2 linked regions of the Arabidopsis thaliana genome follow. The protein of the gene in region 1 interacts with the protein of each later gene in a pairwise test. Each region holds a gene or a part of one and is shown on either strand. Other genes may lie near its edges.

Region 1 (9,570 bases):
TTTACAAAAGGTTAAGTAGACGTTTTAACGCATCTATGGTTCATAAATTAGATAAATAAAAATGATTTAGTAAACTGAAATGACGCCCTGATTCGGATATATATATATAAGATTACAACATTACATTATCCTCTCTTTCCTTTTTGATAATAAAATAACTGAAATCAACCAATTATAATCTTCTTCTTCTTCTTACGACATATATTATAGTCTAAAGATGCCGGTGCACACAAGATAAAGAGAAGAAAAATGGTGGATGAGGTAAATTCATAATCAAAAGTTGTTTAAAAAAGTACTCTACTCTTAATCGGAATCGCTGTCCTTGTCGTGTCCTCCTAAGTCGAACTCTTGTCCCGCATAGTATTGATTTGTTAATCCACGGTCTCCATCTGGCGGACAACATTGAACCAGAAGCTGGGGTATGTCGGTTTCACTGGACACCACAATAGTACTAAACTGTTGAGACTGTTGAGCGTATAGCGGTGGCGGGCCTAGCAGCGCAGGTGTCAAGTCAGGTTCATTGGACGCCACAAGACTGTACTGTTGAGATTCTTGAGCGTATAGCCGTGGCTGACCTAGCGGCGGCGCAGGTGTTAAGTTAGGTTTAGTGGACGCCACAGGACCACATTCTCGAGCCTTTGGAAGCGCGGATGGTGGCGGCGAGTTAGTTTTGGTGGAGCCCTTTCTATAGCCTATATATGGATTATTCAAAAGATAAACAGAAGCAAGGAAATCTATGTTACACCAAAAGTAAGATAAAAGGAACTCACGTCGTATGATCCAAATAACCAGAAATGTTGCTCCGGCTATGAAACCTGGCATCACTAAAACCGGCATCTTCTCGTCTTTTTTTTTACCATGTTTCATTTCTCTGTTATTCATTTTTGACTTGATCTTTTGGGGATCGCCAGACCAGATCTAGTGATGGATGATTCTATAGAAACTGTATAGTGCAAGTTTAATTTTATCATTTGAATGAAAAGAAGAAGAAAAAAACAATTGTTTATGACATGTGTGTGACAACTGGCAAGTCTTATTTAAAAGTCAATACCAACGGCGGTAATAATTGATACCTGGTTACTTAAATCCTTAGATTTTCTTAATGCCATAATTGACCGAGTCTATCAATGACATTGTTATCATAACTCAAATCAGATTTGATAACTTCTTAATTTCGTAGTTGACATAAATTAACAATCACTATGATAAAATTTGATATTACTAACTTACTCTTTGTCCCAAAAAAAACAAAGTATCTTACTCAAAAACTATGTACAAAACTAGTTTTAAGACCGAGTACAAAACTACTTTTAAGTTGTATTTACTAGAAATACAACTTAGTAATAATCGACAGGAAATTAATCAAATCCATCGGTAGGCGTGACTGCACAGAAGAAGGAAAATGCTGCAGAGGTAAATTCATAAATAATCAAATGACAGGTGACAAGTCTTTATCTCTGTTTTGAAATCAATATATGTATAGCTGCCATAATTTGTGGTCTTTGTTTATACTGCCATAATCAAAAAGTTTCCTAATGCCATAATATCTCGTTCCAATCCATGCTATTATATTTTAAATTTACCTCTGAACCAACAAAAGATGTACTTTGATCATTGAATACTTTTTTTTACTGGACCAACAAAAGATTTACTTTGTTAATTGTTATTCTTGTATGGATGTCAAGTAATTACAACTGAACCAAGCTTCTAAAAGCAGAAACAAGATCAAGTCCTCCTAAACAACTCAAGAAGTGTTTCTCCAGCATCACCGTTATTCTCATCACTCCCACTTCCTCTCCCTCCATTATCTTCTTCACCTTCAATCTCAATCTCAATCTCATCGTTTAAAGGCGGTATCGAACCGATGTTATTGTATGTTTCAGACAGATATTCTTCCACCCTCGACGTGTATCCATCTTGAGGACTGCTGGATGAAGCTGCTGCTCCGAATATAGACTCTGCTTGGTCTATGGAGTTTATGGTAATCTGATTCAGTGAAGTCATCGATGAGCTCCTAGACAATGTCCCCACTGTCATCTCGTCTCTCTCGTCTATTGTTGCTGTGTCAAGGGAACACACTGATCTCGTGTGCTTAGACCTCTCTTTCACTCTCTTGCACCAACTGTGAAGTGAGTCTCTTACGCTCTCTGCTATCACAGCTTTCTTATGCCGAGATCCCATCTGTTCAGATTCAGGTGAAACCATAGAGTTTTTATGAACGATGTTTAGTCACAGACTTGGATAGGCTTAAGATTGTGGAATTGTAGATATATGAAAGGTTTTGACGAACCTGAGTAACGATTACATTGAGAGGCACAGTGCCATAACTACACCAGAACTGAACGAGAACCCTGCATTCACCAGAAAGAAAAAAAAAATCTTAAGAGACAGTGTGTTGCTGCGAATTGTTGTGTATTTGAAACGCACCCAGAAATTAGCCGGCTTGATATCATCACATGGTTCTTCATGAAGCAAGATCTTTCCTTGATTCCCCACTGATACATGAAATTGATGATCTTCTCAAAAACTGAAAAACTTTGCATAGCTGATTTAAGTATTGATGCATTTTATAAGGTGGCCTTACCAAGAACCAGATGAATGTTGCCATTTCAAATGCATTCTGCATTAGCAGGAAATATATAAGGATCATCTGTGTGAATAGAGTAATATCATGGCTTGAAGAATTGAGAAAGGAAAAGTCTTTTTGCTTACCTGAAAAATGATAAATTGTATCAACCGTAGCAGAATTTCTGGTTTCCCAAACCAGAAGAGCCCATCACGTGGTTTGACTTGAGCCCCATTAGATGTGCCTGTCTGCTGCTCCTTAACCTCGAGAGCAAGCTTGGAGACAACATGCTCAAGTTTGGTTCCAACCAACATGACAAGCTTAGACAACAAAACAGATACAAACACATGCTCTGAGTGTTAGTACTGCCTTATGAATTTCAAGCTTTTTACTTAATCTTGCTTTTACTTACAATGGCAGGAACGAATGATATCCAAAAGTACATATTCAGGCCTGCAAGGAAATCACTGAATTAGTAAAGACAAAGCTTTAATGTGGAGATAGAAATGGAATGTAGTTTGTATTTATTGAACCGATAAGTTACCATGAACATTTATGCAGATGCATACTATAGCGTAAACCCAAAGTGGCCAGCTGTTGATTCATCAAGAAACATTCATCAGTCCCATTCTGTAACTCCCTTACGAAATCTTCTGAAAACAGTTGAATAAAGAGTCTTTGATAAGATCTCAATTCTCAGAAACGCATACCTAATTCCAACAATGCCATGAAACTCATCTTCCATCGTCCGTACCATATACATATGGAAGTTGTATGTAAATGGCAAATTATGTTTCTGAAATTTTAAAGTAATGAAGACCGGATTCAGAAAACTAATCATGTCAGCTACCAGATTAGATGAGAATTCTTGAGAAATTACTAGAAAGTTATATTTTAAATTTGAAGGAAAGACTGAGAAACGAAATAAAAAAGTTACTCACAGTGAGGAAACCTAACCGAAGTGCGAAGTAGTCAGACTTTCGTATGGAGCCTCTAAATTGCCGCAGGAAACAAAGCTGCAATGCAAACATATATTTTATTGCTGGACAAATGCCGTAAAAATAGCTTCTGGAGAAAAATATAACAGTGTTCTTAACTAGAGATATGAAATTTTTAAAAAATTACAGCTTAAGGTAAAAGCATGGGGAGTTACCATCCAAATGAGAAAACGATTGTTACTCCAAGGATGAGAGGCATGATGGAAAACAAATGTAGACTGACGCTTCATCACCTTGGTCTTCTTTGCTGTTGAACAAAGTCAAGAAGACTAGGGTATATATGACTGGAAACTAAAGCATCCTAGGCATTAAGTATCTTTAACAATGAATCAGCTGTTTGTGATAAAGCTAAAATTACAGAGATACATCTCTTTTCCACACAGTTCATTTCAATCCTGTATAAGTGATTATACTAGGACAGAAAGGAATTTTTCCTATATCAGTATTTATAAGTGATTATACTGGATTTGATCTGCTAGTCAAGATGAAGCGAAATTTGCAAATCTGCATAAAAGCCTCTCCACAGCTTAAGTGAGTTCATGAATGAACAACCTAAATACTTAACAGAATCCTAGTTTCATGCTGTTCTTAATCCTAAGATAACACAGTTCCTCATGTGCCCTCAAGATGAGACCCATCAAAAACATACAAGCCTTAATTTGAAGGAGAGACAGAAAAGTCTTGTCATTTACCGTGGATATCTGATTCAGCCATTATGATCGCTTGGGCTTCCCATTTTCTCCAACTGTAAATCTGTGTTACGTGATAAAAAGACAACACTGTTTCAGATGGTATTGATATGTTCGTCTGCTTAATCTTACTAACACTCTATGCACATAAATGATAATATCGAAGGTTTTCCCTCAATTTTCAGATTGAAGATAATTTCTATTTGACATATACTTAGGACCACTAATTATTTGATCATGAGGTTCTCTACATCCTCTAGACATGAGGATAAAGTTGATTGCAAGTATAATACATCTCTTCCTTTCGGAGCAACATAGAAATACTTAAGAATACAAATTTAACACTCATATGTAGATTTAGGAGCTAGGATGTGTACCTTGCTCATGGCTAAACCAATGGCAATGCCACTGTATAGAACATGAGTGATACCCAGGACGAATAAGAATCTTAGGAGTTGCTCGAGTCCCTCATACGACACAAATGGTTCACGGCCCTGGCATTGGATCCAACATCCAGTTCAGTAATATAATTAAAAGTCAAAAGGAAAATAGGCTCTTAAGTCGATAGAAAAAGTAAATATTTACATGACCACATTGATGAGAGGCTTCATGTATTCCATGATGAGGTAAGGAGCTCTGGTTTGTAGAAGAGGTGTGTTCCAGAAGAACTTTCTTATGGATTCCATAGTCCTCTTCAGAGCAAATGTAGAATTTACTATTGAAAAGGGAAGAGTTAACACAGATTTCTGAAATCCATCTCGCGCTTTGTGACAACAGAAGTGATATAAGTCCCAGCAACATCAACTCTACCAAGAAAGTTTAACAAGTCAAAATCAAACGAAAAAGAAAGAAAGTATAAAGCACCACAACATCAGCACAGGTTTATTTGACATACCCTCTTTCATTTTCTCAAGTGAAGTAAAAAGTGCCTTTCTTCTAGTCTTCTTTAACCACTGAAAACAAAACAGAACATGAAATTAGCTCCTCATATATATCTAACATGAAAGACACATCCTGTAATAATGACTTCTCTTAGAGTGAAAACATCAACACTACTTCTACTGACATTTAGCAAGCATAAACACATATCTCCAAGAAGAAACATCTCGTCCATAAAAATTCTCACTTTCTAGCACCCATTATTAGATAAAACATTTCCAGCTCATGAATCATGGAGAGCAAGAGTTAACCCAAGTGGCAAGTGTGCAGAAAAAAAAAAAAAATCATAATACGTTCTTCACACTCATTCTTTTGAGCTGAGCATTTCAACAAACATATAGTAGGCACACACACGAAGAAAAAATACAAAACAAAAACACACCTTTCCAAATCTGTAAATGGCGCGTTCAACGAGAAAGCAAACAAAGACCAAAACAGTAACAACCGAAGCAACAGAGTAAGTCGGCGTCTCTGCAAGAGACCTTCCTTCTTTCATCATATGCTCCATCTCCGGCGAGGAACTTTTCTCCCGAGAAAAATGGAGAATCAATCTGCATCTGTGATTAAGAAAGTTTAGCTTTTTCCTCCATTTAATTTTCTACAATAAAATATACTAGTCAAAGAGAAGAAAAAAGCTCATGGAATGCTGTACCAAGTAGAAACCAAAGCACATGGTTGCTTCCTCGTCTTCTCCAACGGTCTTCTCTCTTCTCTTTCTTTATTCAATTGCTTCTTTCATTTATTGCAGCATTCATGTGCTTCCCCCTAAATGTCGTTAAAGAACCTAAATTTAATAATGCAATTTAATAGCCGGACTTTACCGACCGGTACAACCATTAGTCGATAATAACAAAGCCGGGTTGATGATATCTCAATCGGTTTACGTATCATTGAAATTAGGAGAGAGATTCAATCACTGTCCGAATTAAATGAACAATAATCAGATACAAAAACCAAAATTACGCCATTTCATACAATTTTTGTAAACCGAATTTATAGCAGCAATCTACTAATCATAATCTAGCAGCAACAACTCAACCGATTTTACTGATAAATGGCGGTTAATATTAGAAGTTTACGAGTACATCAAAGCTTTGACTAATGATACTAGGATTTGGCAATTTGTGGTGGACCGGTCACTGTTTTGCCAGGAGAATAAATGAATATGATATAATAAATTAACACGTGTACAAATTCCCAACATTGGGGTGGTGGCGCAGTTGGCTAGCGCGTAGGTCTCATAGCTATTGAGTGATCCTGAGGTCGAGAGTTCGAGCCTCTCTCACCCCATTTCCCTTTTTCTCTGTAATTTTCAATTCCCAAAATAAAGAAGCTTTCGTTTCTCTCTCGCATTGACCCTTCTTCTCCAGTTTTATGTTTTGCCTCTCTCCCACTTCTGTAAATAATCTTCTCACATCCCCGCACGATTATTCTCTAGCCGATCAACGAACACAGAGACGCTAATGTATTTGACTCGATTCGAATCATTAGTCCTCTAATCACACCGATTGATTTCCACCCACAGATTTCTTGTCTGAAATTTAGGGTTAGCGAAGGTTTGGATCAATGATGCAAGGTGAAGTACAATTGCAGCCACCGGATTCACAGAAACTAAGTGATTCCGCTCCTTTGTTAGGAGATCACACCAATTCTTCTTCGGCGTCTCCTTCTGCTGCGTCTGTGGTGGCAGGAAATAGCGATGAGATAAAGGCTGAAGAAGATTTAGAGAACGATGCTTCTTCAGCTCCTTGTTGTCGTATTTGTTTGGAGGACGATAGTGAATTGTTAGGCGATGAATTGATTTCACCTTGTATGTGTAAAGGCACTCAACAATTCGTGCATCGCTCATGTCTCGATCATTGGCGATCGGTTAAAGAAGGTTTTGCTTTCTCTCACTGTACTACTTGCAAAGCACAGTTTCATCTGAGAGTCGAACCCTTTGAGGATAACAATTCGTGGCGTAGAAAAGCTAAATTCAGACTCTTTGTCGCAAGAGATGTGCTTTTGGTTTTCTTAGCTGTGCAGACTGTGAGTATCTCTCTCTCTCAGCTTCTCTTCATAGTTTTCGTGAGGATTATAAAGCATTTATTAAGAGATTCTGAGGATAAATTTTATATGATGTCATAATCTGGCTCACAAAGTGAACTAGATTCGAATCTTGACCTGGTTACTGCGTACACATGGTGGGTGCTTGAAATTGACAATGGAAGTTGATGACTATCAAATTGTTCATTTTGCTCACTGTGACTTGCCATTTTTGAAGCTTGTTTTTCATAGAGATTGTCTGAATCTTTTTGACGTCTGATAATAAGAAGATTGTTGAAACTCTAGGTTATCGCTGTGATGGCCGGATTCGCATATATGATGGACAAAGACGGAGAGTTTCGCAACTCTTTCAACGATGATTGGGATCGTATTTTGTCGAAACATCCCATCCCGTTTTATTACTGCATTGGTATTTACTGAATCTTTCATCTCCCTTTTATTGCGTAACTAGTATACCTTTCAAATACCACGGATCTAGAAGCCTTACACGCGTTTGAACATTTGGTGTGTCATGAATTCTTAGGGGTTATATCCTTCTTTGTGCTGACTGGATTTCTTGGAATCATTCTACATTGCTCTGCTCTCAACGGTAATGACCCGAGGATGGCTGGATGCCAGAACTGCTGTTATGGATGGGGTGTCTTGGATTGTTTCCCTGCTTCAATGGAAGCTTGTTTCGCTCTTGTTGTTGTTTTTGTCGTCATCTTTGCCATTCTTGGTTTAGCGTATGGGTTTCTTGCTGCAACTATGGCTATCCAAAGGATATGGCAGAGACATTACCATATTCTCACCAAGCGAGAGCTCACAAAGGAGTACATTGTGGAGGATCTTCACGGAAGTTACACTCCCCCGAAGCTGGATGCAGAGCACGAAGGAAGACTGAAAATGCTGAAACTTCTGTGACCGTGTTTTTTAACTGTCAAATAAAGGTTGTAAGGAGTTTCGGGCACATGAGAGAGACGAGTTCATACGTATATGTTCACAGAGTGTCTTTCTTTTCTTTATCATGCGATGAAAAGTACCTAATGGATATTTTGTCTTATATATATTTATTATAATTATGGTATGAGGTGATGCAATGCTACTGGTTTTTCAGTGACTATTAAAGATATTGAGACCCAAATCTACAAACAGAGTCTATATACCGACTGATGTTTCAGTTATCACACAAAAAGCTCTCACCAGAGAAAAGGGATATTAGTGTAAAAGTGTTCCTTTTTGAGTTACAGTTTCTGAAAGCAGTGAGATGATAACGGAGAGCATAGGTACGTCGTTGCAGCTTAAATTTCCTACAAACCCCCGAAAACCTAAAAATATAACAAAAATACGACCACAGTGGGAGTCGAACCCACGACCTTCTGATCCGAAGTCAGACGCGCTAATCCACTGCGCTATGCGGTCATTTAGTATGCTAGTGCAGATTATAGTATATAATATCATCGTTTTCTTTTGGATTCACTCCAAAGAACTCGTAAAAGTCGTAAGCATTACTAAAGCTAAGTTGATTGTCAATTTTTTCAGATAGTTATCTTTGTCGATATACTGATCAATGTTAACTACAAGAAGACAATTGTATCATTCACAGCAAGAAAGAATCATAGAAAAAACAGCTCAATCTAAGAAAACAAAATGTATATATAAAGGAAAATATATAAAAATAAGCCTAATGTCAACGAATCACAACTTTAACGCATCAAGCCCACTCGACTAGTAGGAAACATATATACAATGAAGGAAGTGAAAGGCATGAAGAAACACATATGCATATTATAAACCTTTATGCCCAAGAACAATCTTTCAACACCTCATAGGCCATTGATCGTTGTTCTTCACTCAACTTCTCCGGGAAATTCACTAAAAACGTTATTCTCAAATCCCCTCGCTTACCTTCTTCTTTAGCATTTGGCATACCTTGACCTTTTATCGCCTTCTCAAATCCGTGGAAGATCACATCTCCCACGGTTATCGACATTGACTCTCCGCTCAATAGTGGCACCGAGAGTTTGCATCCTGTTAAAGCCTTTAAAAGAGGAATCTCTACCGCAATCTCTAAGTCGTCTCCACGTCTTTTGAACAAAGGGTGTCTCTTTTCTTCAACCACAAATGTAATATCTTCAGGTAGATAGCCCGGTTTTTCGTTCCCTACTCCTTCGAATGTGATCTTCGTCCCTTTCTTCCATCCCGGTTGGATATTCACTCTTAACATTTCTTCTTGTTGCATAATCAATCTGTTACAAAAAAACAGAACATAATGAATGACTCATTGAGTAAAATAAGAGAACGTGAGAGCCAAGAAACAAACCCTTCATCGGTAATAATGTCTCTTTTGATC
Region 2 (7,601 bases), on another chromosome or scaffold:
TTAGCGTAACCGTAGACCTTCCGGTGAGTTCGAAATCTTATCATTCTTATGTTAAAACCATTCTTTTAATGTCCTATTTTTAACTATGTTTTTTTTGTAAGAACTATGGTGCTTTCTTCGAAAACGTCCCGGCTGGAATCACTGGACCCGTTTTTATCATTGGAAGAAATGGTGATGAAACTGTTGTAAAATATTTGTCTACTCATAATGGAGCTACAAAACTGGTTTAAGCGGGGTTGAGAACCAACTCTTTAGTTCAGAATCACCTTCGACATGGTCAGGTGAAAGTGTACCATTCAACTGAACCATGACTTAGTACAAGGTAAGTAGATATTAAAATCAATAGCTACCAAAAAGTTATAGATGCAATTTAAAATCTTATTATTCTAATGTTTCTTTCAGACTATTTTCAAAGCTCCTTTGGGAAGTGAACCAGTTGTGGTCGATCTTTTGGGATTTGGAAAAGGAAAGGCTTCGATCAATGAAAATTACACTGGCCGTTACTGGCCAGTTTTTCTAGAAACCAAAAAAGAAAAAAAAAAATCGATGCGTGATTTACCTCTCTTTTGTGTTTTGTAAACTGAATGGTTCCTATTGAGAAGTAATTTAGGTACAACAAAAAGCTGTTCTTGAATTGGAAACATATTAATTCCCAAACCCTTAAAAGCTTGAAGCTCAGGTCTGCTCACACTCCTTCAGTGCAAAGCCCAATACAAACTTTGTGTGGAATTCTTAATCTCCATGGTCGAGGACTTCATGTGAGAGAGGATCCACCTGTTCTGTTACGGTTTTCCACCCATCTCTTGCATAACTGGGTTCTAGCTTCCTCTCCATATCGCTACGTAATGTCTGAGCTCATCTCTCAATATGCGAAAAACCTAGCAATCATCCTCAAGCATCTAAGCAATATTACCCTTGCTCGAACCCGTGTCCAAGCACTTTCTCGTGTAGTTCTCTTCGGGCCAGTGAGATTCACGACTTTGACCACTTTTACAACGCCACTTGGTCTCTTGACAATGGCTATATGTTCATCCATTGACTCGTCTTTGGAAGAATTGTCGATAATCTTTGATCTCACATGTACCAAAATGCTTTATAGCTTTTGGCTCAAAGCTCTCAAAGAACTCTTGTCGATTAAACCTATCGATCCTTTTATCTATCTTTTTATCTACCTTATGTTGGCTTTGTGGAATGCTCCTTATGGTTGTATTGTTAACTTCTGGATCTGATTCCCTCCTCCTTTGTACTTGGTTTCTATCTTAATTGAATGATATCATCTCTTTGACAAAAAAAATAAAATAAAATAAAATAAATAATAATTCCCAAATCCCACAACACATTACCAGATATGGAGGAATGATGATGATGTGAGTTGTTTTTTCTGTTATTATTTTCCCTACTTTTTTTTTCCATCAATTGAAGTTAAATACATTTTATGATAAATAATTAAACAAACAAAGATAAAATTGTATTTCTTTGGTTTATCTCTTTGGAGTTCTAATAATAACAGGTGTTTCGCAATTTATTTCTATAATGAAAAATAATAATATATATTTCCAATTAATCCATATTGCAACTCATGTGTAATAGATTCATTGAAATATCTAATAAATAAACAAAAATTCTAACAATAATCTTAAACTGTTGAAAGCAAATAACCATTATGAAAAGATATTACTTTTATAATTCAAAATCATGTATCACATGTAGTATTGTACATGCTACATATTAATTGTTTTAACATAACTTTTGAGAAAAAAATGCGGTAAAAAACCTTCAAAGTGACAAATTTTTTATCCGCTCTTAACTTTTTTTTTTATTATATACAAATCAAATTTAAGGAAATAACTCAATAATAAGATATTTTAACTTTAAATTCCTAATTTTATTATATCCATATAAAATCAATTTCTTTTTATTGTTTTAAATTCTTAAAGAAAATATTTCTTTATCTTCCATTTACATAAAGTATTGTTGGTCAATTGGTAACTCGATAGCGACATAACGTTTTCAGTACATTTATCAGATTTTATATAACTTGTTTTTTCTTTTGAACCGACATTATGAGATCTTTAGTCAAGTTGGAGGATTTTCCATTGAAAATCATCTTATATCATAAGCTTTAAAAATTTTAATTGTGAAGGTTTAAATCATATGTTTGTAATACATGCATTTCCATTTCACCCCAAAAAAAAGGTAATATTGAATATATTAAGTTTTAATTTATAATAAAACATATCAATTTCACACAAAAAGAGCCAAAATATAGTGCATTGAAAACTTTTAATCAAGTAAAATGTCTTCATTAAACATATCATAATTTGTAAACATCAAAATTATTACTTCTAATAATTTCTATCGATATATTAACAATTATAAAAAAATATTATATATAATTTAATGTTAATATCATTCTATATTCAAAACTAAAACCAAATATACAATTCACGCATCGTTTGGATAACTTTCTAGTATATATATATATATATTAGAATGAAAAAGTCTTGTAGAGCATTAGACCACTAATAATTAAAAAAATTTATAATTATATTGCATTTTTTAATACAATTAGACCCACTAATAAAACTACAAGTATTAAAGGTTCACCCGACTCTCAAATTTGAACCTAATACTAAATTATACCTCTCTCTCTTTTCTTACTTTTTAATATTTAGTTTTTAATGGTCAAAACCCTTTTTTTGTGCAAAAGATAATTTCATTCAAACTTAACCCATATGTAGTACAAATTTTAAACAAACATCAACCTCATGGTTGGAAACATCAAAGAAAACCACAAGTTCTCTCACAAGAGAATGGTAAAGGAAAATGATATAAGATAATTTGACGGTAGATCCATACATCGAAGACAAGAACAATGTAGTAACTTGCTACAAGCGAGAGAATGGTGAGTCGAAGACAATTACACGAATATTTTGGGAGATTGTTGAATGGTCACGGTCCAAACGAGACATAGTGACGTTGATAAAGAGTCTTTAACCTTGGATAACAATGGCTCGAAACACGCAGCTTCTACAAAGGTGATTAAGGTATCCAAATGGTTTTGCAAACTTAAAGTCGGAGACAAACCAAAAGTTCGTTCTATAAAAGAGGATGATTCAAAAGTTCTCTCTATAAAAGAGGATGATTCTATCATAAAATTCTTAGACTTATATGAATAGTATGAGCTGCTCTTTAAGGCACTAAGATCTACCACCAAGGTTAATAAAAGCACCTTGTCTAGACTATCTATAGGTGTCAACGTGATGAGAGAAAGGAGTCCACGACCAATCTCAAAACCATAACCCTGCCATCAGATATCTAGTGTTTGACAAGGAAGAAAGAAAAACAGACCTGGACCAAATTGGTAAATAGGCCTACCCATTAGCATTAGCTTTAGGCCGTGGTAAATTTATTAGTGGGCCAAAGGCTGCCCAGCCCAATTCGAAATGGGGATCCAAACAAACAGCGGTTTTGCCCTCTTTAGAATGCCGCTTTTGTGAAATTGTGAGAACCCTTGTTAAAAAAACTCGCGATGAAGTTGCTCTCAAATACTTTAATGGCTCACGGTAAGGATGCTGTTGTTGTGAGTCACGTGTTTGCACTGTGTAGTTGCTATTTAAAACAAATTCTTTTTGTTCAAAATTATTTTTTTTGATAAATTGTCAATCTCTGAATATTAGAACTTGATTCCCAAGTAATCTTTTTCGAGTTGTTTTGTTGTTTAGTCATTGATTATACGAACTTGGTCCCCAAGTATATTTCTTGTTCATGCACTTCCTTATTATCCTATTGGATGACTGTTGACCACAACGTCCACTAAAGAGAAGAAACTATACAACGTCATTGCGAAAAACTACTATACTTTTATACTTTAACGTGTAGACATAATAATATACTTTTTTGAGTATCTTCGGTGGAAAATATAGAATACCTTTTACTGGTTGAGCTAAGAGTCGTGTAAATTCAATATTCTAGTCCCACAAATTTCCAAAAAGAAAAGTCTAAACATTGGTTTTCGTTGTCTGTCTATAAAAGATAAGAAGAATAACATCAGAGATTATACGCACACGGCTTTCAACATTAGGAAGGACAACAATGGAAGAGCCCTTTCTTCTGCAAGATGAGCACCTTGTCCCCTGTAAAGACACATGGAAAAGTGGTCAGGTTACCGTCGAGCTGAAGAAAGTGAGCAGCTTGGCCGCTCCTATGGCCGCCGTGACCATTGCTCAGTACTTATTGCCTGTCATTTCAGTCATGGTCGCTGGCCACAATGGTGAGCTCCAGCTCTCCGGCGTCGCTCTTGCAACCTCCTTCACAAACGTTTCCGGGTTCAGTATTTTGGTAATGATATGCTATAACTACTCTCTCCTCTTAAGTTCAAGATCAAGTTGCCTCTCAAATCTTGATAACACTATATTAATTCTTTGTGCAGTTTGGGTTAGCGGGTGCACTAGAAACTCTTTGTGGCCAAGCTTATGGAGCCAAACAATACGAAAAAATCGGAACCTACACATACTCTGCAACTGCCTCTAACATCCCTATATGTGTCCTCATATCAGTTCTCTGGATTTACATCGAAAAGCTCTTAATCTCTCTCGGTCAAGACCCTGACATCTCTAGAGTCGCTGGCTCCTATGCCTTGTGGCTCATACCGGCTTTGTTCGCCCATGCGTTTTTCATCCCACTGACTCGGTTTCTGCTAGCACAAGGGTTGGTTCTTCCACTGCTCTACTGTACCCTGACCACTCTTTTGTTCCACATCCCTGTTTGCTGGGCTTTTGTTTACGCGTTTGGTCTGGGAAGCAATGGAGCTGCCATGGCTATTAGTGTGTCTTTCTGGTTCTATGTTGTGATTCTCTCATGTTATGTGAGGTACTCCAGCTCCTGCGACAAGACTCGCGTATTTGTATCCAGTGATTTCGTGTCTTGTATCAAGCAGTTCTTCCACTTCGGAGTCCCATCAGCGGCAATGGTTTGGTAAGTCGTTTTTAAGTTTCTTGTTGGTCAAGTTACATACAACAACCAATGCTTTTTTTTATCTTGCTTGCGTTTTCTTGGTCTTCCTTTAATAGCCTAGAATGGTGGCTATTTGAGCTACTCATACTCTGTTCAGGTCTTCTCCCAAACCCGAAACTCGAGACCTCTGTTCTTTCAATTTGGTAAATATATATCATATAACGACTTCTTTTTATTTTTATTATCCTCTTTACTAAAAACTAATGAATCTTATTTCTTTAATGCAAGTCTTACAACAGCAAGTTTGCACTATGTGATTCCAGGTGGAGTCGCGGCGGCTGTGAGGTATGAACTCAAATTTTTAACCAAACATATTCAACATCTTCTTCCTAAACAATAATAGTCATTTGGTTTCTTGCAGCACACGCGTGTCAAACAAATTGGGAGCTGGGATTCCTCAAGTTGCTAGGGTTTCAGTATTGGCAGGGCTTTGTCTCTGGCTTGTAGAGTCAGCTTTCTTTAGCACACTTCTCTTCACATGCCGAAACATTATAGGCTACGCATTCAGCAACAGCAAAGAAGTTGTGGACTATGTGGCTAACCTAACTCCTTTGCTCTGCCTCTCCTTTATCCTCGACGGTTTCACAGCAGTTCTGAATGGGGTTGCAAGGGGAAGTGGTTGGCAACACATTGGAGCTTTGAACAACGTGGTAGCTTATTATCTTGTAGGAGCTCCTGTTGGAGTATACTTAGCTTTCAATCGTGAGTTGAACGGAAAAGGACTTTGGTGTGGTGTTGTGGTCGGATCCGCTGTGCAAGCCATAATATTGGCTTTTGTCACAGCTTCCATAAATTGGAAGGAACAGGTAAAACACTTAGAATAGAAGATTCGTCATTTTAGCATGTTATACTTGTACATTCTTTTTTGTTCTTTCTTTAATACTATGAAGTAATTTTAATCTATGATTTGCAGGCTGAGAAGGCTAGGAAGAGAATGGTCTCTAGTGAAAATAGATTGGCTTAAACTAAGGATGTTTCTGAGAGCTATCTCAAACTATTTTTGTAGGTGTTGAGCAAATTTTTATGTATGGTATATTAATGTGTTAAAAAATGTTCTTACAAAATAATTTATATGTATGATTTTTTCTCAGCCTATCTTTTTCACTATGTTGTGTAACTTGTAAGTGTATAATCATCATTTATCCATAAACATGCTTTTCTTAATTTTTTCACATGTCATTCCCAATAAATTTATTTTATGGTATTTGTGACTATAACCACAATCTTCTACCAATAAATCTTAGTGAACCCTTTCCGAGAGAGCTTTTAGGCTCATAATACAATACTATTCAGATTTTGAAACTCGGACCTTCACGACAAATCTCTGACGAAACTTTGGATTCTACTTGAGAGCGGCTGTCACTTTTAGTTTCAACCACAAATGATTTACTAAAACCTGTGTAAAATCAGATCCAAATGTCTTTAAAGTGGTCTAAAGAATCAAAACTTAAGGTAAGCAAATTACTTAAATTAGAGTCAAACTTTAGGACTATATAAAAATATAAAAATCCACAAAAGTAATTAATACAAGATTGAATGTTCAAACTCTACAAAACAAAATAATTCATATTAGTCTTCAGTCTTCACATATGTTCTTATGTAAATAATTAAAAAGTATTAACACTAATGACATGTCATTTTTAATATGTATATTCTATATATCTATTTTTATAATATAGTATATTCGTGTGCCACTAGTATCTATATTTTCAAACAAGTCAAAACGAATTTGCTTCTTTACTCATCATATCTACTTCGTCACCACGTTTGTAGTTCAAGTTGCCTTTGTTGTTTATTGACTTAGTCGGTCTATAAAGATAGGATAAATATCATCTTAAAATCAAAGGGAAAGGCCTTCAACGTTAAACAATGGAGGAGCCATTTCTTCTGAGAGACGAGCTTCTAGTCCCTTCTCAAGTCACATGGCATACAAATCCATTAACCGTCGAGCTAAAGAGAGTGAGCCGCTTGGCCGCTCCTATGGCCACTGTGACCATTGCTCAGTACTTATTGCCTGTCATCTCGGTCATGGTCGCTGGCCACAACGGCGAGCTCCAGCTCTCCGGTGTCGCTCTTGCAAACTCCTTCACAAACGTCACCGGTTTTAGCATTATGGTAATTATGCTATGACTCTAACCTTTTCAACTCAAGAATCAAATGGACTCTCTCAAGTATTGAAAACACTTCAATTATTTTTGTGCAGTGTGGATTAGTGGGTGCACTTGAAACTCTTTGTGGCCAAGCTTATGGAGCCAAACAATATGAAAAAATCGGAACTTACGCATACTCTGCTATTGCTTCCAACATACCAATTTGTTTCCTCATATCAATTCTCTGGCTTTACATCGAAAAGATCTTGATTTCTCTCGGACAAGACCCTGAAATTTCAAGAATCGCTGGCTCCTACGCCTTTTGGCTTATACCGGCTTTATTTGGCCAAGCGATTGTCATACCACTGTCCCGGTTTCTGCTAACACAAGGGTTGGTTATTCCTCTGCTCTTCACTGCCGTGACCACCCTTTTGTTCCACGTTTTGGTTTGTTGGACTTTGGTTTTCTTGTTTGGTCTGGGATGTAATGGACCTG

The links. The genes of interacting proteins can lie anywhere in the genome.
Region 2: the proteins of MLO4 (region 1) and AT2G04050 interact in a protein complementation assay, tested with the Arabidopsis thaliana proteins (one large-scale study listed by BioGRID).

What each region holds. Positions count from the first base shown.
Region 1 is NC_003070.9:3,670,210-3,679,779, forward strand, and holds MLO4 (Seven transmembrane MLO family protein), read right to left. Parts: upstream 5,925-9,570; 5' UTR 5,845-5,924; exon of another isoform or gene 5,750-5,844; 5' UTR 5,701-5,749; coding exon 5,575-5,700; intron 5,207-5,574; coding exon 5,149-5,206; intron 5,060-5,148; coding exon 4,839-5,059; intron 4,748-4,838; coding exon 4,631-4,747; intron 4,318-4,630; coding exon 4,257-4,317; intron 3,812-4,256; coding exon 3,720-3,811; intron 3,583-3,719; coding exon 3,508-3,582; intron 3,363-3,507; coding exon 3,277-3,362; intron 3,161-3,276; coding exon 3,111-3,160; intron 3,020-3,110; coding exon 2,979-3,019; intron 2,887-2,978; coding exon 2,713-2,886; intron 2,621-2,712; coding exon 2,585-2,620; intron 2,496-2,584; coding exon 2,428-2,495; coding exon of another isoform or gene 2,358-2,427; exon of another isoform or gene 2,352-2,357; coding exon 2,291-2,351; intron 2,182-2,290; coding exon 1,726-2,181; 3' UTR 1,547-1,725; downstream 1-1,546. Other genes in the region: AT1G10990 (uncharacterized protein), read right to left, coding at 304-882; AT1G11020 (RING/FYVE/PHD zinc finger superfamily protein), read left to right, coding at 6,759-7,220, 7,524-7,647, 7,762-8,141; AT1G11040 (HSP40/DnaJ peptide-binding protein), read right to left, coding at 9,016-9,466, 9,541-9,570.
Region 2 is NC_003071.7:1,335,765-1,343,365, reverse strand, and holds AT2G04050 (MATE efflux family protein), read left to right. Parts: upstream 1-3,897; 5' UTR 3,898-4,095; coding exon 4,096-4,341; intron 4,342-4,432; coding exon 4,433-4,977; intron 4,978-5,072; coding exon 5,073-5,159; intron 5,160-5,244; coding exon 5,245-5,301; intron 5,302-5,377; coding exon 5,378-5,822; intron 5,823-5,929; coding exon 5,930-5,980; 3' UTR 5,981-6,186; downstream 6,187-7,601. Other genes in the region: AT2G04060 (glycosyl hydrolase family 35 protein), read left to right, coding at 1-23, 102-224, 403-510, 768-1,229; DTX1 (MATE efflux family protein), read left to right, coding at 6,886-7,131, 7,220-7,601.